Linked DNA regions of Rhinolophus ferrumequinum. The protein of the gene in region 3 purifies or fractionates together with the protein of the main gene of each other region. This does not show direct contact. Links are inferred from orthologs where the notes say so. Each region holds a gene or a part of one and is shown on either strand. Other genes may lie near its edges. The genes, in order: USP50, NEK7 and NLRP3.

Region 1 (8,033 bases), on a different chromosome or scaffold from region 3:
GTTAGCTATGAGGTAAGCTAACACCGCATAAGGACACTGCATAAAGTCAAGGACACATCTTTGGAAAATGAGGGTGTCCGACCATGGCTGAAGGAAGTGAGACTTGTAAACAAGGATAAAACTCTTAGTAATGGGCAATTTCATGTTTTATTAAACGTATGTTGTACTCAATGAAGAATTCAGGTTAGGCATGTTTGGTATGAAGGTGAAACTTTGCAGTATATAGATCTGTCCTTTAATCTAATGACAAGTGTAACAGTTTCTTGGGTTTGTACTTGCCAAGAACATTTATTTTAGGTTGTAAAGTTCTACGTGTCATATGTCATAAGGAATATATTTTTACAAAAAAGTGATTTTCACTTAAAAAAAAATCCATGCAGATGTTATGTGCAAAGGGAACTAGATTAATGGTCCCAACACCTGCTGATCACCAGAAATACCAACGGAGCTTTCCCAGAAGACAGTCCTAGACATTCTAACTCGGTAACACCAGACCAAGGGCCTTAGAACCTGTGTCGTAAAAATCTTCCTACTTTGATGATCAGCAAAGTTTGGTAAATACAGACCTATTCGAATACTAACTGGAATGTTCCCCCACAGTACTCCCAGAACCTATGCTTGGCAGAGTAGGCAATATTGATTGAACAAAACAAAAGAATGAAAAATGAAAGTTGCCCATAAAGCTGAAGGTCTATCCTATTTCAAGGCCATTAATTCTACTTACCTTTTTCAGAGATTCATGAAGTTCGTTCAGGACATAAATCAAGAATTCCTGAGCATCTTGCTGTGTCTTCTTCGTAAATGCTGGGTAGAGGTTGCCAAGAGCTGACCGAAATATTTCTGGTGAGACACAGTCTGAGTCTCCAAGCCACATGTCTGTCATCACATAGGCAAAAGCAGTGGCGACCTCACTGCAGTTCCTTGGGAGAAGGAAGGGAATGTTTCTGGCTGATTTAATGAAAAGAAGGCACCTAAAAACTCAAGCATCTGGACATTAGACCCCAAACAAAGCTTCATTAATTTCTTGGTTGACCTTCTTGCTTTACTCACCCTAGAAATGGTATCTGGGGTACTGCAGCCTCTACTGACTTGTTTAGCCTTTAATAGGGATTCCAGAGTGTTCCTTCCCTAACCTCACCGTGGGGAAACAAGGGGAAGGGGCTGGACTGCAGGGAACGCAAATGGTCTTACTTTTGAAGAGCAGTGATGTACTTTCCAGAGAGAAAGTAGTCCCTCAACGGTGAGATGCTGCAGAGACACTGTAAGATGGCATTCATGTAGCATGTGTTGCCCAAGTTCCGCAGGCCAGTCACGCCCTGGAAATGGGGCTGGTTCTCATCAGCCTCCTTAACTGGAAAGGTATCACAGTGATCTGTGCAGTCTGCGCTGTGTTGGTGCCATGTGGAAAGAAAGGACAGCATTTTGAGGGACCGAAATATGTACATATGACAATAAGGCCCTCTCAACCTCATGACACAAAGGAGAGTTTGTAGTAAGACCTCCGTCAAATAAATTCCCTACCAAGGACAGAAGTAATCTAACTTGGAGTCTAAAATTACATTACTTAGTCCAGAACTCTTGGAACAGTGCCAGCAGCCAAATACGAAGAGAGAAAAGTTTCTTCGTAAAACCAAAGCAAGAGGACAGAAAATATCAGCCTTTCAGAATCTTAGAGTTGTTTGGCTACCAATGTAAACTTTCCCTCTGAATACCAAAGTATTTCCCTTTTTTGCTGGGCAAGTTATTTAATTATTATTAGTAGTAACAATATTAGATAGTACTTAATAGTAACAATAGCTATCTTGTATTGAGCTTGGCACTATGTTAAGTACTTAACATGTATTTTCCCATTTAATTCTTTCAATAATTCTTGGGGGTAGGTACAATTATTTTTAAATCCTGTAATAGATGAGATATCATGTTTAAGTGGTTTAGTCATCTGCCTATGGCAATATACTAAGGGATGTGCAGTCGTGGAGAGAAGTATATGTCGAGAGAAGGAATATTTGTCTACATACCTACGTACCTACTGGCCATCTGTCTGTCAAGTTATTTGGATTTATATATCATATATTAAGAGTGTGTGTGCGTGCGTGTGTGTGTAAATATATATATATATATAGAGAGAGAGAGAGCGTAATGTAGACACATATTATATACTCATACATATATTAAGAGCACATATATGTGCATATTATATATATACAAATTACACACATACACACACTGGAAAAGGAAGCGTAAGAGCCTAGACTTTGTAAAAAACAGATCTCAGTTTAAATCCTGACTCTGCCACTATACTACTTACATGATCGGAGACTTAATTCTTGTTTCTCTTCTGTAAAATAGGAGTACTGCTGCCGGCCATATCGGTTTGTTGTGAGGATTAAATGATGCAAGGCACGTGGCACTGATTACATAGTTAAGTGGTAACCTCAAATCTTTTTAAAGAAGTCACTCATCTAGAAAGTCCTTAACAGCAAGCTATCGAATTAAAGCATTCGTGTGAATCAACCAGACCTGCGCAGAAGAGGGAGCACTGTGGCCGCCCAAGGAGTCCTTGCTGCCAGTTTCCTTTTGTAATTTGACTCTTCCACCAGGCAGCCCAGCGTCTTTGTCCTTTATTATTTGTCTTTCTAGCTCAAGTATTTAAAATGGCGTCTCCATGAGATCGCTACCTCACCTCAGTTCCTCTATTTACAATTCTGCCAATTTGAAAAGAGCTCACTGTTACATGAATGGCCATTTTCACTTTTATTCGCCTTTGCTATGGGAGGACCTGGACTGTCAGTTGCCTGGGTATTAAATAACATCTTCGATTCCTTTTGGGGGACCTCCAATGGGTCAAATCTGGGGGAAACCTCCCAAATGTGGCATGTGCCCCCCCCCCCCGACTCCTTTGGCATGGCTTCCCCCCCGCCCTCCTGAGCTTATCTAGAAAGCTGTAGTAGATGGAGGCTCACAGGACATAGTAGATACTGAAGTCATCTGTGGGGAGAGGCTGCTGCGAAGTCATTGCAGTGAAACCACGTCGGACTTTTCACTTCTATTCAGGAGCTACAGCTAATCCTTTTAACTTCATTCTCTGAGCCTGTTACTTTGGCTCTTTTTGTTTGTAATAAACAATTTGTATGTCCCCCACCTCCCCTTTAGTAGCTACAAACTGATTTTCATCTGTCCTTCAGGAACATTCCAACTTGGATTTTCCATGCATCATAATCCTTTCCATTCACCTTCAATATTCTAGCTTGTTGCCATGAGATACTGTTACTTGGTTGCTTCAAAACTTTTAGATTAGATTACAAAGAATGAGCTAAATATATAACATCTCTTCATCACTCATTTTCTCTTGTGTATATATATATCACACACACATGCGCGCGTGCGCACTTCAGTGGACATTATGGTAACCCTGCCCACTTTGGGCACTCACCCACTGTCCTCATGATGGCGCCACTCCCAGGACCACGAAGGACTGTTTCTCACCCAGGGGAGGGAGGTAGTTGGATTTTGCTGCTTCTAAAAATGCATGGCATTGGAATAGATTGAAACATTTCCCTTCATGGCCAATTGTAGTGCAAAGTGGGTGCATGTGCGCACACACACATAATCCCACTAGCGCCATGCAGGGCAAATATAAATAAAGGGTTTATCACAAAACAATTTATAAGTTAAGAAGTAGTAGAGCACACACAATCTCCTGAGCTCTCATTTTCTTCATAGAGAACTGTGCTTTAGAAAGCTCTTCAGTAGGGAGGAGCCTACCCCCACCCCAACAATGAATGATATACCACATTTTATCCATTCATCTGTTAGACATTTGGGTTGTTTCCACTTTTGGGCTATTATCAATAATGCTGCTATGAACATTTGTGTAAAAGGTTTTGTGTAGACACCATTTCAGTTCTCTAAGGTATATACCAAGAAGTAAAATTGCTGTGTAATATATGGTAACTCTATATTTAACCTTTTGAGAAACTTTCAGGCTGTTTTCCAAAATGGCTACACCACTTAAATTCCTGCCGGCAATGTATGACGGTTCAGATTTCTCCACATCTTTGTCAACACTTATATTTTGATCCTAGCTATTTGAGTGGGTGTGAAGTGTTATTTCATTGTAGTAGTTTTGATTTGAATTTCCCTAATGGCTAATGAAGTAGAACATCTTTTCATGTGTTTCTGGACCATCTTTTATGTCTTCTTTGGAGAAATATCTGTTCAGATCCTTTGCCCAGTTTTAAATTGACTTGTCTTTTTACTGATGATTTGTAGTTCTTTATAAAATTTCTTTATCAGCTACATTACTTGAAATTTTTTTTCTCTCACTCTGAGTTGTCTTTTCACTGTTGATGATATACTTTGAAAAACAAAATTTTAAAATTTGGATGAATTTCAATTTGTCTATTTTTATCTTTGGTTGCTTTTGTTGTTGGTGTCATATATCTAAGGAACTATTGTCTAATCCAAGGTTACAGATTTACCCCTATATATTCTTCATTTGTCTCTTAAATCCATTTTGAGTTAATTTTTATATACAGTGTGAAGTAGCGGTTCAACTTCATTCTTTGCATGTGGCTATCTAGTTGTCTCAGCACAATTTTTTGAAGACTATTTGTCCCCATTGAGTTGTTTTGGCATCCCTGTCAAAAATCAATTAACCATAAATTTCTGGACTCAATTTTATTTTATTGATCTATATGCTGTAAAACACTGTCTTGATTACTGCAGCTTTGTATGGGGAGGAGTATCTTAATAGCCTTTTTAGGTAATTGTGGATATTCTTATTTGAGACAACACCAAAACTAGACAAGTAGTAGTTTTCCAAAAGTCAACTAACTGCTATATAGAATCTGAAAGCCTTCTCTAGTCTGCTAGATCTTTCACTCATGCATCATTTTAAATATCATGCATAGGTCATTTGGAAAATATTGGTTGTTACATGGATCTTCCAAACATTGACACATTTCTTTACACAATATCAAAAACAACCATTATTAAATCAACACTGATTTCATTAGAAAAGTATTGAGAATTTGTCACGCTACTGGTGTTAAGAGGCAAGTTTTCCAAAATTCCAATTGTCTCTACGAAGTTCAAACTTTAGCATTAAAAAGTAGTTATTCTTTAGCCAAATACTGAGGTCTGAATAACCATTGTCTGTCTGCCAGTCATGAAATCTTTCAAGCAGAAATGATGTTAAATGAAAAAAGTGACTAGTTCAATTTGCAACTCACACAATTGCTTAAGTGCTTTTCTTTGAGACAATCATCTCATTTCATTATGCAGCAGAAGTGTTTTATGACTATTTCTCATTTTATTCCACATAATATTAAAGACATGCATACAAGAGTCAAGGTTAAAAATTAACTTACTTCATCAAATACTTTTTTAAAATTAAAACTTAATGGGGTGACAATGGTTAGTAAAATTACATAGGTTTCATGTGTACAATTCTGTAATGCATCTACACATCACCTTGTGTGTAAACCACCCAGTCAATTCTCCTTCCATGACCATTTTTTGACCCCCTTTACCCTTTTCTACTATCCCCTCTCCTCCTACCGCCTGGTAAACATTGTCTCTGTCTCTGAGTTTTTGTTTCTTCATTTGTCTGTCTTGTTCCTTTGTTGTTTTCAGTTTTATATGCCACATATCAGTGAAGTCATATGGTTCTCAACTTTTGCTGTCTTATTTCACTTAGCATAATAATCTCAAGATCCATCCATGTTGTCCCAAATGGCACAATTTCATCTTTTCTTATGGCTGAGTAGTATTCTATTGTGTATATATACATCTTTTTTATCCAATCATCTATCAAAGGACACTTTGGTTGTTTCCATGTCTTGGCCATCGTAAAAAAAAGCTGCAATGAACATCGGAGCATATATCTTTACAGATAAATGTTTTCAGGTCTTGGGGGGTATATACCCAAGAGAGGGATTGCTGGATCATATGGTAATTCTATTCTTAGTTTTTTGAGCAACCTCCACACTGCCTTCCATAGCGGCTGCACCAGTCTGCATTCCCACCAACAGTGCATGAGGGTTCCTTTTTCTCCACAGCCTCTCCAACACTTGTTACTATTTGTGTTGTTGATTCTAACTGGTGTGAGGTGATACCTCATTGTGGTTTTTATTTGCATTTATCTGATGATTAGTGATGTTGAGTATCTGTTCATATGTCTGTTGGCCATCTGTATGTCCTCTTTGGAAAAATGTCTGTTCAGGTCTTCTGCCCATTTTTTAATTGGGATGTTTGTTTTGTTGTTGAGTTGTATGAGTTCCTTATATATTTTGGACATTAGCCCCTTATTGGAGGCGTTTACAAAAATTTCCCATTCTGTTGGTTGCCTCTTTATTTTGTTGATGGTTTCTTTTGCTGTGCAGCAGCTTTTCAGAGATGTTTTAAATGAAATGAACTGTTTTTCTTAAAACTGTGGTGTGAAGCTGAAGAATATAACGACCCTTGTAGTTTGGCGTTCCTGCCTTGATTCACACTAAGGTACCAGCAATTTTACCCATCAGTGATTTTGCGCCCTTTAGTAGTTTCAAACTAGTGAAAAGGCAAATACTATCTTAGAATTATGAGTTTTGACCCTGTGGACCCATGAAAAATGTCTTGGGGACCTTCAGGGTCTGCGGTCCACTTTGAAAACCAGTGACCTAATTAATAAATCTAGGCAATGACGATCAAAAAGACAATCAAACCTGTATTTCTTAATGGAAGTATATACACCACCACCAATGAAGCATTCTTGTCAGAAATATAATCTTGAATTCTGACCAAGCCTCCACACCTAACAATTAATTTATGGCATATACAGGAAAAAGAAAGATGTAACAATGTAACATGACACCTAATGGAAATAATCAGCAAAATCCTGAATGCGGGAAACTTCTTAGAATAAGCTGGTTCTTCAAAAAATAAATTAAAAAAAAAAAGATGGGAGAAGAAATTTATATATTAAGAGACTTTAAAGACAAATCAAGTAGCAATGTATCTTATCTGGGTCCTGACTCAAGCAAATTGCAAAAAATTTTTGTTTGAGAATAATTACATTATCTGATGATATTAAGGAACTTAATTTTTTAGACGTAAGGATATCATAGTTCTTGTATTTTAGAAACATATACTGAGACACTTATAGTTAAAATTAAAGTTTCATAATGCAGGATTGCACAGAAATTCCAAGGAAAAACCAAGTAAAGTCGTGAATCCCGTAACAATGGGAATATGGATCACGATTTCATCATTGTGCAAACATCACAGAGTGCACTTACACAAACCTATGTGGTACAGACGACTACACACCTAGGCTATTTGGTAATAGTCTGTTGCTCCTAGGCTACAAACCTGTACAGTATCTTACTGTACAAAACAACATGAGACTAAACACAAGAGAAAATGACAAATCAAGAGCCATAGTAAACAGGAAAGGTATGAGGTTGCTGCTAGTGACATACTGTTTTATAGCAAACTTTTTTCTTGTGAGTAGAAAGAGGACACTCTGATTAAAAATACAGTAAATACATAAAGCAGCAAGTTTTTATAAAGTATTATGTACTATAATTGTGTGTGCTATACTTTTATACGAGTGGCAGTACAAGTTTGCTATACATGCATCACCACGTGAGTAATGCATTTTGACAGGAATTCTTTGGCTCCATTATTATCTATGGGATCACCCTGGTATATGCAGTTGTCATCAACCAAATATTGTTATGCGGTCCATGACTGTAAAGGATAGAGCTAAATGTGGGGTGGAGCAGCGCATGAGAAAAAGTCCCTGTATGTCTGGTGCTGTTTACTGAAAGCTGGACTATGTAGCTTCTCTGAAGAAAACCCTCCTGGCCCAAGATCACCAAGGTGAAATCATAGACCCCCAGAAACAAACTCTGCTTGAGGGATTTCTGAAGAGCCTAGAAGAAGGAAATATATTCCAGAGAGGATCAGAACCTTAGCTTGGGATTTTTCCTAAGAAAAAGCTCACAGATCATCTAATATTGGTAATATTCTGTGGTACTTCTTCAACA
Region 2 (7,092 bases), on a different chromosome or scaffold from region 3:
TATTTTTAAAACAATAAAGTAAGCAAAACCTGAAAGGAAATTTGGAACTTATTTATCTAATTAAGCAACCTCTTTTCCAAAACGCATTAGATAATCACTATTCTCTCAGTCCAGATGCCCTCAGTGGTGGCTACATTAGTAATACTAGAGACACATTTTAAAACATAAGATCTGCTTCCTAGGAAAATAGTGTTTGGTTCTAGATACCCTGTAAAAGTCTCTAATGCTACTTCAGGCCACATACCTAAGTGGAAAAAAAAAAAAAAAGAATCTACATTTCTGTAAATGCACAGTAGCTGAAAAGAACACAAATGTTTGCAGTAAATCAGAGCCCAAAACTGTCGATTACAACACCAGAAGATGACGGGAGGGGCGTAGGTTAAATACTTCCTGTGCACAAAACTATAACTGCACTTCTGGTCATTTGAAACATTCACTGATTTTTACTACTCGGGTATGTTAATCAGACTGGCCTCGAGTCTCCGCTCCTCCACTGGTATGAAGCCATCATACCAGACGTGCTTTCCTCATTCTCGGAGTAAGTGCTGTTTTACTGGGCCGGAGAAAAGCTCTTGAGATTGTCCCACCAGCAAAATGTGCAAGTGGGAAAGGGAATGGAGGGTGCCACAGAAATGATCAAAATAATTATACCTGAATTCTGATCATAAAATGAATTTGTCAAGTTACCGTCTTTATAAGCTGACAAAGATTTTTAACTGCGGAAAGATTCCCAAGTCACTGTGAACACGCTTAACGATTTAGATTCTGACATTTCTTGGTTTCCGTTTTCAGATCATTTCGCAAAATCCCGATCAGTTACAGAGGTGGTATTCAGTTTGCTGACCAACTTCGTTTCTTGTCGACTATAAAGTTTCAGTTGCAGTCGTGAGTCGAAGGTGCAGCTTAACTATGAAAGGAGACAAGCACGAGGGGTGAGAGGAAACTGGAGCCTCCTCCACCGCCCGCAGACATGCCTCCAGCAGGAGCTCTCTCGGCCTCCCGGAGGGGCTCGGAAGTACCGCCTCCCAAGCGGGAACCGCACTACCCTAGCCGCTCATTGGCTGCGGAGGCTGTCAGTGCTGCGAGGGCGGGGCCTCCCCGGTGGAGCGGAAATCTCATGCCAGCACCTCTCGGGTCCCCCGCTTCCCCAGCCCGCGAGAAAACAACCTGCCTCCACAGAGGGGCTTCGCCCTTTTATTTCACCGGCTCTTCTCCCACCTACAGTTTCTGTCCCTTTGACGCCTCCCAGAGGCAAACGTTTTTAAGCTCCATCTCCTCTCCCCCACCCCGCGAACTCCCATCCCAGGAGGCAAACAGAGGATGCTGCGGTCTTAGGGGGAAGCCAGCTGTGGGCTGGATCTCCCCGAGGGCTGCGGAAGACTACTTCCTCGGAAAATGAAATGACTCTACGTTTTACGTCAACCGTCTTAAGTGCTATCACCAAGTGTTATGACCCAAACTCCGGCGCGTCCATTCAGCAAGAGTTGCCACATGGTGAGCGAGCGGCATGTCTCCTTCACTGAGTCACCGAGTTCAGTGCTGGTCCGGTCGCCCCCGAAGTACCCTAAAAACCCTCTGAGCGGAAGTGCTCTGCCACTCTTCGGCCGATCCTGCAGCCGCCCAAGCTCCTGTTCTGAACAGACGTACTGCACACACGTTCTGTACTTGATTCTGTAATGCAACCTGACAAGGCACGCAGCTGTCGCCTGCGGGGCGTGTGCACACTTTGGGAAACTCACAATTCCTCGGAAGAGGCCCTCGAAACACTGGTTCTCATTACGAGGAGTACGCCATGCCTGCCAGCTAGGGGCATCTGACTGTTCAGCGGCATCCTTCAGATCACCAGTCTCACAGGAGGAAAATCATTTCGTGCCTGTAACACGTGTCTGAATTCCAGTTCCGTCACCAGAACTGCTCAAGGATGGGAGCTTATCTTACTGTGACATAAGCGCGCGTTTAGTCTTGACCCCTAACGAGGACGACGGCTCTGCGAGAACACGATTCATCAGTTGGATGCATCGTGTCCCAGGCCTCCAGTGCACAAGGGAAGAGGCAACGGGAGTCCTTGAGACCTGGATGCAGCGTCCTCTACGTCGTGCTCATCTCCTGACACTGCCCCGGGGCAACGTGGCCCCCTATTTTCTCCTTTTTCCTCTGGGCTACCCTCCGTCTCTCTAGCTTCGGCCTCAGTTTTCGGTTTTTCTTTTCCACGGCCACCATCACTACCAGTGTTCGCCTTGCACTCCCTCTCTCTGACGTTTCCTGAACCTGTCGGAGTCCCACTAAAGCTCGTTCTCCAACAGGCTGGTCATCCTCCCGGTACTTCTCCAGCCACTGGACACTTGCCCACCACCCACTCTCTCCCACTGAACTTTTCCTCTTCCAAGTCTGGCGGCCGACAGCTGGGCCTAACCAATCCGTGAGCAATAAATAACCCGCGCGGCCAATGAGCATCCGCCGAGCGGCGGGAGGCGGGACTTCACCCAAGTTCCTCGGGTCCTGAAACCCAAGACCTGTTGCAGCCAGCGCCGTGGCCGCGGAGTTTCTTGGTTACCGTGGCCGGCGCCGCCAGAGCCGGTGCCAGGCGTGAAGCTCCCGCCACTGCCCAAGACCAGGGCCGGAGCGTCGGGCTCCAGCGCGGCGAGCCCCGCCCCACCTCCCCGGCCGCGGGACCCGGAGGCCGCCCGCGCGATCCCGACGCATCCCCACCCCCGCCCGGCTCCCGCAGGATCACCGCTCGGCCCGGCGCCGCGACCCCGCAGCGACTCACCGGGAAGTTGGAAGTTGTCAGTTCTCCTGCCCGCGAGGGGCCCGGGGCAGGCGGGCGGCCGGGCCAGGAATCGCCGCTGAAAGGCCCGCTGGGCCTGGGGCTCTGGCTTGCGAGGCCCGGAGCCGATCGCCAACCTCGCGCCGCGCCGCCCCCGCGGACGGTGCAGGCGCGGCCACCCACCCTGCGCACGGCGAGGGCGCGTCCCGAGTGCGAGGCTAGCGGCGGCCCATCCTCCCGAGGCTCCCGCTCCTCCTCTCGCGGACGCGGCTGTCAGGAGTGTAAACATCCCGGCATCCCCGAGGAGAGGGCGGGGCGGCCGCCGGCCACGCCTCCGCGCCGCCGGCCACGCCCACCTCACCGCCCCCGAGCCTTGCGCGGCGGTCCAGCAGCTGCGGCAGGCAGACACCTCGGTGGTCCCAGGTGATGTCCGCGCGGCTCCCTGCGGAGCGGTGGGACCCTCGCTGGGGCCGAAACTCCCGGCACGTAGCTTCCTGCTATCCGGCCTAGCATCGCGGGGCGCTTCGTTCTGGCCCCCCCAGCCCTATTCCCCTCCTTCGGGCCGACTTCCCTCGGAGACGGGGGTCGGCCGCCTTTGGAGAACTTGCTTTTTGTTCCCTTATATTTCAATACCCGCACTTGCAAGCGGTACGCCGAATTGGTGACGTCTCCATTCTTCTCTTCCTAGGTGGTAAACCACCTCGGCTCTGAGCGAACCTTGCGTTTAAAGTAAGAGTCCCAACCTAGAGGAACAGTGGCTCTCGGGACATTTCCGAAAGGTGAACAACCTCTGGGTTGGTACCTGGAATCCTAGAGGGAGGAGGTTACATATATTATAATACATACGAACGTACCCCAGCACCTTAGCACAGTCGCTGTAAAGGGAATGCTTTGATTCTAACCGCTTCCCTACTTCAACTGGACACGCATTACTGCAGGAGACAGCTAGGAGGCAGTGTGGAATCAACCCCACCTTGATTCTAATCTCAGCTCGACGGTTATTAACTCTGTGACCTGGCCGCAAGTTATTTCACCTCTACGAAGTATCAGAATCTTTGTTTATAAAAGGAGAACACAGTAGTAATAAATACCTATCTTTAGGCCTGCGGTTAGAATTAGATGAGATAAAGCAGAGTGCTTCCGCACAAGAGCCTGGCATGTAAGAAGTACTCATTAAATAGTTACTACTCCTACGTCTTTTACTAGTTTGACCTCCACACCAAAGGGATTCCGGCCAAAAATGAGGAGATTATAGATCAAATACTTAAAATTTTAAAGCTATGGAACTAAGATTTGGGAAGTTTATGCTTAGAAAAAAAATAATTCAAGATCTCAGGAGATGTTGATTCCAGTGGCTCAGGAAGTTTTAAATCAATGTGTGAGTCACAATGCATGAAGGTACAACAAGTTAGCAAGACACAAAGTCTCCTGGGGCTTCCATTGCACTAGAACAAGCGATAATAATAATAAATAATAAGCCTATAAAGACATGCTATGTCAGATGGTGACTCATACAGAAATGAAGCAGGGCAGGGAGACGTGGCGGGGAGGCTGCTGTTTGAAATATGTTTATCTGGGAAAGCATCTCTGACATTTGCACAGAGACCTGAAGGAAGTGAGAAAATGAGCCACGTGTCCAGGAGTAGAGCATTTACAGCACATGCAAAGACCCCACCAGAGGTGGGCTTGGCTTCTTTGAGGAATGGCCAAGAGGTCAGAGGTCAGTGTAGCTAAAATCCAGTGAACAATAGGTAAGTGCTGGCAGATGACATTGGCAGAGGAGGTGGGGGTACGGGTAGGAGTAAACGTAGAACCTTGTAACTTTTCGCATTTATTCTGAATGAGATGGAAAGCCGTTGGAGTAGTGACCATATCAGACTTAGGTTGGGAGGATGCACTGCACTGTGGAGACCCTAGCACAGTCATGGGACTATTCGAATGGTCAGGTAAAGATATTGATGACTAGACATTGTGCTAACAGTGGAGGCGATATGCATGGTCAGATTCCAGATATATTTCTAAGATACAGCCAACAAGATTTGCCGGTGGACTGGATGTGGGATAAGAAAGGCGGCAAGGATGAAGCCATTGATGCTGGCATTTAAACAATTTAAATCGTTCTATCAAGTCACAGCAAATCAAAAGCCATCAGTCAAATAAGAACAATGTCACTTGAGTCAGACACAGGCACACCTTGCAGGAAAAGTCACCAGGGACTCCCAGGGTGAAGACATTTCAACCTAATATACAAGCCATGGTGTCCTACTGCACTACCTTTTAGAAAATGTAGGTAGATAGATGATGGATAAAACAGCCCAGTTGGAATAAACTTCAGATTCATCTGAGGACCAGATATTTCACGTGTAAGGAAAACGTACATCATTTATAACACTGACTGGTAGGCAAATGGATCAAAATGAGCTCAAGAACCCCTAGTGACCCCAGACAGCCTAGGAAGTACCCTACCAGTGGCTCCCTGGTGCCCAATCTGTTGAAATCACCTGTATGTGTCCTATTTCTTCACCTTGGAAGACACAAAGTTACAACTAAAGAGTACTATCTTGCCTGAAAGGTTGGGAAGACTGTCAGAACAGAATCCACTGTACTTTCTCTTTGTGACTCTTCGTTACTGACCCATATGGTAAATTGGGAGTCCTGTCCCTGGCCACTGGCCCCTGGCCTGGAGCGAATGCTAATGGAAAAACAGGCTCCTCTGGTCCCAGGGAGCATTAGAGCAGAGTCCAGCTTTAACTCTTTGCTTTTCATCTCCCCACCAAGCTTGCTCCAAAATGCTTGTTTGGCTCCACGAGACACCTTCATGACAGTCCCTTATATGAGCTACTTAGTGTTCATACCTAATTACCATGCAATACCTACCATTCACTATCAGATTAACCCGGCTGTAAATGGTTATTACGCTAAAAAACTATCGGTTTACACCAAGTCATCGTGTTTTGTTATTTATATAGGTTTGCTGGCTCCATCCAATTAAAAATATAAATTAGAAGTAGTACTGATTATCAATACTGTTTTTTATCCACAGGCTAACCCAGACCAGATGTTACATACCAGGTTCAGTGTCAATGCAATTTCTCTGGAAAGAGAGAAGCTTGCCAGAAAACTTTTTTCCTGATGCAGGATGATGAAGTAATATTAAAAATAATTCTCCTTTGAAAAAGATCCTAGCCACTGAGGGTTAGACCAGCAAGGTCTCGCCTTCCTGACTCAAACATAGTGCTGGCAACACGTGTACTTCAAAAGCTACCAGTGATATTGGCGGCCACAGACTTTGGCAGCTAAATGACGATGAGGGTTAGTCAAGCTGTTGAAATGTCTGGACTAAACTGGGCCAAACGGAGGAAGTGAAAGTGCAGACTGCACATGACTCAAGGGAGATCGCTTTCGTCTGGCCCTGGCTGTGGTCACTGTGCAGCTTCAGGAAAGAACTCTTTCTCTTGCTTTGAAAACACTCATGAAAAATATTAGAGAGCTACTTTTTACTTGTGTTAAGACATCATGCAGGTAAGCTTCTAATTAAAACAGTCAAATCAGCCTGAATTGTATCCTTACATCCAAATGCCTAGAATCCAAAATCACAGACAGATAACTCTGCGATGTCCCAGTTATCTAATTATGGTATTTTGAGAATACAGTCAGTTCTCAGATAAAAATAGTGGCAACCTGATGGTCCCCCGGCTATTTCTGTAGCAGTTATAAAACTGGGGAGACATTTTAATTTTATATATATTTTATATATATATTTATGTAGGGAAATGCGATATTTTATACTGGTTGCACCACAGGAAAGAAAGAGTACAATTAGGAGTTTAGGTTTATATCATGATTTCCTTTGGTGAACAGAATCCAACTGAATTTATGCTTTTTGTCTCTCAGTATAAAAGCCCGAGGGCCATTATGTGATGACGGTCAGTAAGTCAAAGCAATGAAGGAAATATACTCAGAAATTATTTCCCTTTGCACACTTGTCCACACCATCCTTGATGTGGAGCCAAATGGGGAGGCCTTTTCACAGGAGACACTGTCCTCAACAATGGTAGAATTTTCACTGTGGGTTCCTGATCACCTCTCAGTTATTTACCCTAACAGAGTGTGATGACACAATAATCGAATTCCAAAGATAATTTTTAAAAGTGCAGGTTTCTCTGGAATATTCTGTGTGCATGCATCTACTCTGAAAAGGGGATATTGTTACCAAGATCCTGTGATCTCACAAAACCAAGTGGGACGACTCCCTAGAGATCTTCCTACTTTGTCTCCCTCCACCTCTCCTTATTTGTCAAGTTCTCTTCTGAGCTCCTCACTTC
Region 3 (7,421 bases):
TGGGAGAGTGACTTGTCTGTTTGTTCGAAGAAGAGCTTAAGGCCTTCAGTTGGCTCACAGGAACAGAAGCAGTAGTCTTTCTTCTGGGGGTGTCCTGTGGAAACTTTAATAGAGCAGGTTTGATTTGAAGGGAAGGCGACCCAGCTACTGACTCTCTGTAGTTTGATAGTAGTTGGGGTGTTTGGGAGATCTGGAAAGGGTCCCTTCTGTTTAGAAGTTAATTGGGCTGTTAGAGACCCCTCCCCCTCTAGGCTTTTAATAGTTCTTGGTCCCCACTGTACAACTTTATGACTTTAAGGGGCTATAATGTGTAGAGGAGTTGGCTTGGGGGAAGTGCCAGTCCTTATATTTTGAGTGCCTGCTGGACTTTTCCCAAGTTAATATAGAAAATAACAGAATTGAGGTCAGAATCCACAGCAATGGGCAGCAATTAGAGCCAGGGCTTAGAGGTCTCCTGACAAAACTTTTTCTAGAGTCCTTTTTAAGTGTGATTTGCTTATTTTATACTTTTTCTGCAACATAGGCCAATGGTAAGGAATAGGCGGAGTAAAATGAGCCCAAATTTAGGGGGGTTTATTTTTACAACTGAGTAGGTTTTAGAGGAAATAAATAGGTCCAGAGTGAGTGGTCAAGAAAGAATAAATAGCTTCTATATTAATCAGGAAATTTACAGGCTTACCTGCCACGTCAACGGTCACCCTCAGTTCCACCCTTGTGATGAGAAGAGCTTGGGAGCCTCTGGGAACTTCAGGTCCAGCAGTGATCACAGCCATTTGTGGGGAGGGAGTTGGTCTCTGCTCCCTTCAGAACAGGGGGCAGTCCCTCCTCCAGTGCCCTTTTAGTTTGCAGTGGGACCATGGCTGGTTTGGAGGAGTAGGACACTCCTTACTCCAGTGGCCTGGCGTTTCCTCTTCTGGGGTTTCTGGGGGGCCCTGAGGTGGCTTCAGCCCTGGGTTGTCTACAACTGCAGCCAAAAGTCTGGCCTGTCTCTGGCTTTGTCTCTAGTTTCACTGTTCCTTTATTACTTGTTTATCCTGCTTCAGTTGTTAAAGATATTTAAACAAATTTCCTGACCTTTTCTAGATTCTGTGGCTTTTTATTAAGATGCAACAATGGGTCGGAATTATTATAATTTGCTGTCAGGTGAGGAAAAATATTAAGTCAAGCTTAATGAATTTACCCTAACTTATCTAGGTTTTTGGTATAAAACAGTTAAATTATTTTTTTTAATAGTTGTTTATATCTGACATGAGAAGGACACATGAACACCAGTAGTCCTAGAATATAGAAATTATTGCAATAACATATATCATCTTTGTTTTTTAGGTAGAAAACCTTTTATATTAGTAGTAGACCAATAGTCTAATAAAATTTGTCTTACTTAGCAGAGAGAGAAAAATCAACTTGAGTTTTGTACTACCTTTACAACCTTAATTTATACTAATAACCAAAAGCAAGTAATTAGCTCTTTCCCTGGTAAATCGAGGGATATATTTTGTAACCTTTAAAAGCATTGACTTTTGTAATGCAATGCATGACATATTCATTAACAGATCTTAATTTCTCTTTTATTATTCCTGTTACAAGAAGCCAGAAATAGGTAAACTCAGACCTAGCCAATAATTGATATTTCAATATTTTGCTATTTTGAAATACCTAGATAGTTAATAACTTTCATCATTTAACACAACTTAGTAAATCCAACAAACCAGTCTTAGTATCAAATATTTCCTTAGATCAGGTGATCCTGAGAAGTAGTTGAGTTAGTTGTTATTATCTTAATTAATATAAGCACTTACTCTCTTATTTTTAGCCAATCAAATATTATAAACTGGCAATACCATCTGGAGGCAAAACCATTATTATATAAAACAGACAAGTACAGACCTTAGAGACTACATATGTAAACAGAACCACCAACACTTGCAGAGAGGACCTAAGATCTTATAGTTGCCCTTCCAACTTCAGGAGGCTGTAACGGAGTGGGGGCGCTTGCCGCCTGGGTTTAAAAGTGCCTCTTTTTTTCTCTTCAGTTACCTCAGCCTCAAGTGGAGGCTGCAGCAGCCCTTTGTTTACATTTGAGGTTATCTGCAAGACCTTGAAAGTTACTGAGAGTTAGAGAAATCTTTTAAGAATTACCACCTTTTGTCAAGTTCTTGAATATAGTTGGTGTACAAAACAGTTTTAAATACATGACTTAGAAGGCTCACAGAAGGTATAGATACAGAGCTCCTGATCAGCTTGGTGTCTAAGACACAAATAGAAAAGGAAAAGGAAAAGAGAAAAGACAGACTAGAGGCAAATAAAACAAATAAATTACATAAGCTAGTACTTACAGAACTAAATCCTCCTGAAATGAGGAGCTGGAGTTTGGGGGAGAAGGTGTAGGCTGAGGGCATGGGGTGGACGAGGAGAGACCCAATCGATCTTCAGCCGGGTCAAAGGAAGGAGTTTTATCTGGAGGAGGAGAAGGCTTAGAGTGCGCTAGGAGAATTTGGAATGTATTGTAGGTTTGGCAGAGGGAGAGTCGAGCTCAAAGAATAAAGAAGGCCTGCACATAGGGAATTTCTGACCATTTTCTGTTGTGGTGACAGAAGTTAGATAGGGGTGAGGCAGTGCTGTAGTAAAAGATAAGTCCTGTGGGTCAGATATCCTGTAAGATGAGCCCAAGGGAGTGTAAGTTGTGGAGGGGACAACCGAGAGGCGTAGATTTGGCAAGGACCAAATGTGAGGCCCCCATGGTTTGAAGAGATAGAGTGACAAGGGTGAGAAGAGAGCTTCCTGTTAGGAGGAGCACAGGGGTGAGGCATCTCCCGATTCCGGTGTCCGTCCTCCTCGGGTTTGGATATGGTAGACCGCTCCTCAGAACAGCGTCCTCAGACTGGGAGGATCTGGGCCCCCGGGGCCTGGAGGAACTTTCTGGCCTAGCTCTAGGACTTTTGGAAAACTGGAGAGTCAGCAGGTCCGAGGAGAGAATAAGACGTCTCACTCACCCGGTGTGAGAGTCTGGCCGGATGTTGTCTGGGATGTCAGCAACAGAAGGGAGAAAGTCCCCAAGCACATCCTTACGGCAGGTCTGGGAGGGTAGCCAGAGAGCAGATCAAGCAGGGGGGAGAGGGGAGTAGGGAGAAGAGAAAGAGAAGAAGCGATCCTGCATTCTCTGGCCTAAACCCTCCCGGGTTCTGGCACCAAATGATAGGTAGGCTGGTAAAGGAACGCACATGGTCAGGCAAGCTGAGAAAGTTTATTAAGAGAAAGCCTGTCGGGCGGAGCAAAGATGGCTACAGCCCAGACTGTGCGTCTAAAGGAGACCTGCAGCCCCAAGGGAGGGGGTGAGGAGAGTTTTATAGGGGCTGTGCTGACAGGGTAGCACTGTTTGAACAGAAAATTCTGACTACCTGCAAGCTAGTAGCTGTTTTGTGGTGTTTTCTGTTTTTCGCAAGTTTGGCTCTGTCTGCAGGTGCAGGCCAACAGACATTTTGTTGTTTTCTTGCAGACGTGGTTCTGTCTGTAAGTCAAGGTCTCTGAGACCTAACATTCAGAGACCTAACATTAAGTCAAGGTCTCCAACATTCAGAGACCTAACAGCAAGAATATACAATAGGGGTAAAGATAGTCTCCTCAATAAACTGTTTTGGGAAAAATGGACAGATACATGTAAAACAATGAAACTAGACCACTTTCTTATACCACATACAAGAATAAACTCAAAATGCATTAAAGACTTAAATGTAATACCCAAAACAATAAAACTACTTGAGGAAAACATAGGCAGTAAACCCTCTGACATTGCTCTTAGTAATATTTTTTCTGATGTATTTCTTTGGGCAAGGGGAAAAAAAGAAAAAGAAACAAATGGGACTACCTCAAACTAAAAAGGTTTTGGACAGCAAAGGAAACCATCAACAAAACGAAAAGACAAACTATTAAATGGGAGAAGATATTTGCCAATAATACATCTGATAAGAGGTTAATACCCAAAATTTATTAAAAAAAACTCATACAACTCAATACAAAAAAATTCCAATTAAAAAATGGGCAGCGGACATGGATAGACATTTCTCCAAAGAGGACATACAGGTGGCCAAAAGACATATCAAAAGATGCTCAGTATGACTAATTATCAGAGAAATGCAAATCAAAACCACAATGAAATATCACCTCATTGCTGTCAAAATGGCTATCATCAATAAATCAACAAATAGGGCCAGTCTGGTGACTCAGGCAGTTAGAGCTCCATGCTCCTAACTCCGAAGGCTGACGGTTCGATTCCCACATGGGCCAGTGGGCTCTCAACCACAAGGTTGCCAGTTCAATTCCTCGACTCCCGCAAGGGATGGTGGGCTATGCCCTCTGCAACTAGAAACGGCAACTGGACCTGGAGCTAAGCTGTGCCCTCCTCAACTAAGACTGAAAGGACAACAACTTGAAGCTGAACGGCACCCTCCACAACAAAGATTGAAAGGACAACAACTTGACATGGAAAAAAGTCCTGGAAGTACACACTGTTCCCCAATAAGGTCCTGTTCCCCTTCCCCAATAAAATGTTAAAAATAAATAAATAAATAAATAAATAAACAAACAAACAAACAAATAACAAGTGGTGTGAGGATGTGGAGAAAAGGGAACCCTCGTGCACTGTTGGTAGGATTGCAAACTGGTGCAACCGCTATGGAAAACAGTATGGAGATGCCTCAAAAAATTAAAAATAGAACTACTTTATGACTCAGCAAGTTCACGCCTGGGTATTTATCCAAAGAAACCCAAAACACTAATTCAAAAAGGTGCATGCATGTGTATGTTCATTGCAGCATTGTTTACAACAGCCAAGATACGGAAGTGAACTAAGTGCCCATCGATAGATGACAGGATAAAGAAGAGGTGGTGCATATGAGAAAGGTTCTGTGTCACACATCACTTCTGGTATGGCAATTTCTGTCAAATAAAAACATTACGGTGTGTCCTCATGCAACTTAGACTGTGCAGTCAACAGAAAAACATCCAGCCTGAGAGAAAGCTTATAAGAGTTCATTTGAGCCAAACTGACAACAATTGCTGGGAAGCAAAATCTCAACGGATTGAGAAAATGCTCTGGAAAATGGCCATTTTGCAACTTATTTTTATACATTAGAATCAAAGGAGGAGGGTTTCATGAAATCCATTGGTCGTAGATTAAGGGGGTGGGAGAAAGCAAAGCGGGGAAATCTCTGGGATTGGATAAAAAGCAAAATGGAGAGACACACACTTCTTTTACATTGGTGGGTACAGGATAGTTAATAGCATTTTACAGCACAGAGAGATGGTATTTAGAAAACAAGATAACAATGAGGGATTTTGTAGTTTCCTGCTCTGGTGCGGTGGGTTGTGCCCTCTGGGAGGTCTGAAGGAAGAGATTACTCTTATATTCCAAGGGTATGTTATCTTAGATGCAAAAAGACGACAGACAGGTTCACGTAAGGTAAAGATTTACCTTTGCCAAGGAAGCAACAGGTGAGGATGTGACTTCCCGCCATGGCCCACCTTACTGAGGAATTTTTATGTTCACACCATCCTCTGTGGTTATTTTCAGTCTCCTGAGCTTGTCAGGTTTAAATGTGGCCCCTTTTTCATTCACATTTCCCCCTTTTGGTCATAAATCAATTCGAATAATACATTGATGACCAACCTTTTGGTTGGATAGTGTGGTCCCACGGTGCTAGGAGGGCTCATTCCTAGGAATCTTAGTGTCGGCATTTGTCCTGCTGAATGTTGGACCATTGTGGGTGGGGCAAGACCATAACCTTAGATGGCAGTCAAGGCCAAATTATTTATTTATATTTAAAAGAAAAGGTGAGCAAACAGGAGGCAGTCAGATCCTATATGTCTTCATTAAATATATTCTGGATCATTTCTAATCTTTGAGCTATCATGATCCAAGTTTTTCCTCTGTCTGTCTTATGTTGTTTTTTTGCACCTAATATAACATGTACAAACTAGGAACAAGAGCAATAGTATTAAACCAGTAACACTGATTAGGAGCAGAAAATGTCCAATATTAGACAAGTATGAGTCTGAGCGGAGCAAACATCCTAGCCAACCAAAGAACCCTTCATTTGCATTATCATAATTTTTTATTAAGCTAATATGTTTCCCTCCCTCGTCTACTGCTATTTGTACCTTATGACAAGTTCGGCCAGATAAATGAAGAATTTACTATTTCATGATCGAAAAGCTCTAATTTTTCTTCTGGTCAATTAGTTTCCATAGAAATGACTTCATGGGGAGGAGTAAGTTCAATTTCCCAGTACACTGGATTTTCAGTATCAATATTGTTATAGGCAAAGTTAATTTGGCTGTGATTTCAGTACTACACCGTATTCCCATAGCATTTACTATAAACCTGGTATTATTACAGTAGAAATCAGTTAGTATGACAGAAGAATTTTCTAACCCTTCCCAACAAAAACGTCCCCTTCTCATATAACACATATTGTTGTTTGTTGAGGTGGATACAATAGGCCAGGATTAGGTAAATTCAGAATTCCATATAGATTGGGGACATAATCATTCACCTTTTCAGTTTAATATGGCCTATCTACTTTACATTGGAAGCGCTCATGTGTCATTCATTAATCTGATTTCTGCTAGTTGTATAACCGGGACCTGTATCTTTAAGGTTTAATAGGGGCTAAGAACACAATGGTGTAAGTTACAATTACTACCTGAACATTTCTAGAGGCCAAGAGGACAGTAGAAGTTTCATAAATAAATTTTCTGTGCCTTAGCAGCCATTATAGAGGGATATATATATATACGTATATATGTACATATATATATATATATATATATATACACACACACATAGATAGATAGATAGATAGATCTCCACTTCAGCTTCTATCTGAATTAATATCGTTAGTAGTCTTTGTAAAGATTGGGGCTAAGTATAATTGGGTTCTAATATAAAATTCCTTTCTCAATATTTCTTTTCCACTAACCTTCTATAACTTCACTTGTCCTTCTCAGTTTGTCTCCTTTCCCTCATTCAGAAATAATCAACTTATTAGGACAAACTACTTCCTTTTAACTTCTCTCAAAAATACACACACATCCCTTTTCTTCTTTCTACAATAACATTTCTTTTACATTTCAAAACCATAAATATAGTATTATTGATAATAAAGAAGTTATCTAATACGACTTGAGCAATTATTAACAGTCGGGCTATATAAGTACAGGTTTTGAAAAAAGCCTAACAAACAAGTATAACTATCATTATTACTAATATTATTAGCAGACAGTTAAAGACAATCAAACAATGGTTGTTTTAAGTTCAGTATCAATTATGTAGATGTACAGGCCTTCTCGATGTCTTGGGGTAGCTGTCTAACCCTGATGTCGGCAGCTTCTCATCCTTGAAGAGTCTTTGGTATCCACTGATA

The links.
Region 1: the proteins of NLRP3 (region 3) and USP50 purify together in Homo sapiens (affinity purification with western blotting; 3 studies listed by BioGRID). This does not show direct contact. The link is inferred for Rhinolophus ferrumequinum from reciprocal best matches to the Homo sapiens genes NLRP3 and USP50.
Region 2: the proteins of NLRP3 (region 3) and NEK7 purify together in Homo sapiens (affinity purification with western blotting; 9 studies listed by BioGRID and IntAct, with this or other methods). This does not show direct contact. The link is inferred for Rhinolophus ferrumequinum from reciprocal best matches to the Homo sapiens genes NLRP3 and NEK7.

What each region holds. Positions count from the first base shown.
Region 1 is NC_046289.1:57,045,254-57,053,286, reverse strand, and holds the start of USP50 (inactive ubiquitin carboxyl-terminal hydrolase 50), read right to left. Parts: upstream 3,017-8,033; coding exon 2,964-3,016; intron 1,387-2,963; coding exon 1,192-1,386; intron 921-1,191; coding exon 725-920; intron 1-724. UniProt on the Homo sapiens protein: Deubiquitinating enzyme that removes conjugated ubiquitin from specific proteins to regulate different cellular processes. Regulates the inflammasome signaling pathway by deubiquitinating 'Lys-63'-linked polyubiquitination of the PYCARD/ASC adapter protein.
Region 2 is NC_046310.1:2,689,470-2,696,561, forward strand, and holds the start of NEK7 (serine/threonine-protein kinase Nek7), read right to left. Parts: upstream 3,052-7,092; 5' UTR 2,771-3,051; intron 1-2,770. UniProt on the Homo sapiens protein: Protein kinase which plays an important role in mitotic cell cycle progression. Required for microtubule nucleation activity of the centrosome, robust mitotic spindle formation and cytokinesis.
Region 3 is NC_046307.1:1,051,523-1,058,943, forward strand, and holds the start of NLRP3 (NACHT, LRR and PYD domains-containing protein 3), read right to left. Parts: upstream 3,090-7,421; 5' UTR 2,337-3,089; intron 861-2,336; 5' UTR 680-860; intron 1-679. UniProt on the Homo sapiens protein: Sensor component of the NLRP3 inflammasome, which mediates inflammasome activation in response to defects in membrane integrity, leading to secretion of inflammatory cytokines IL1B and IL18 and pyroptosis.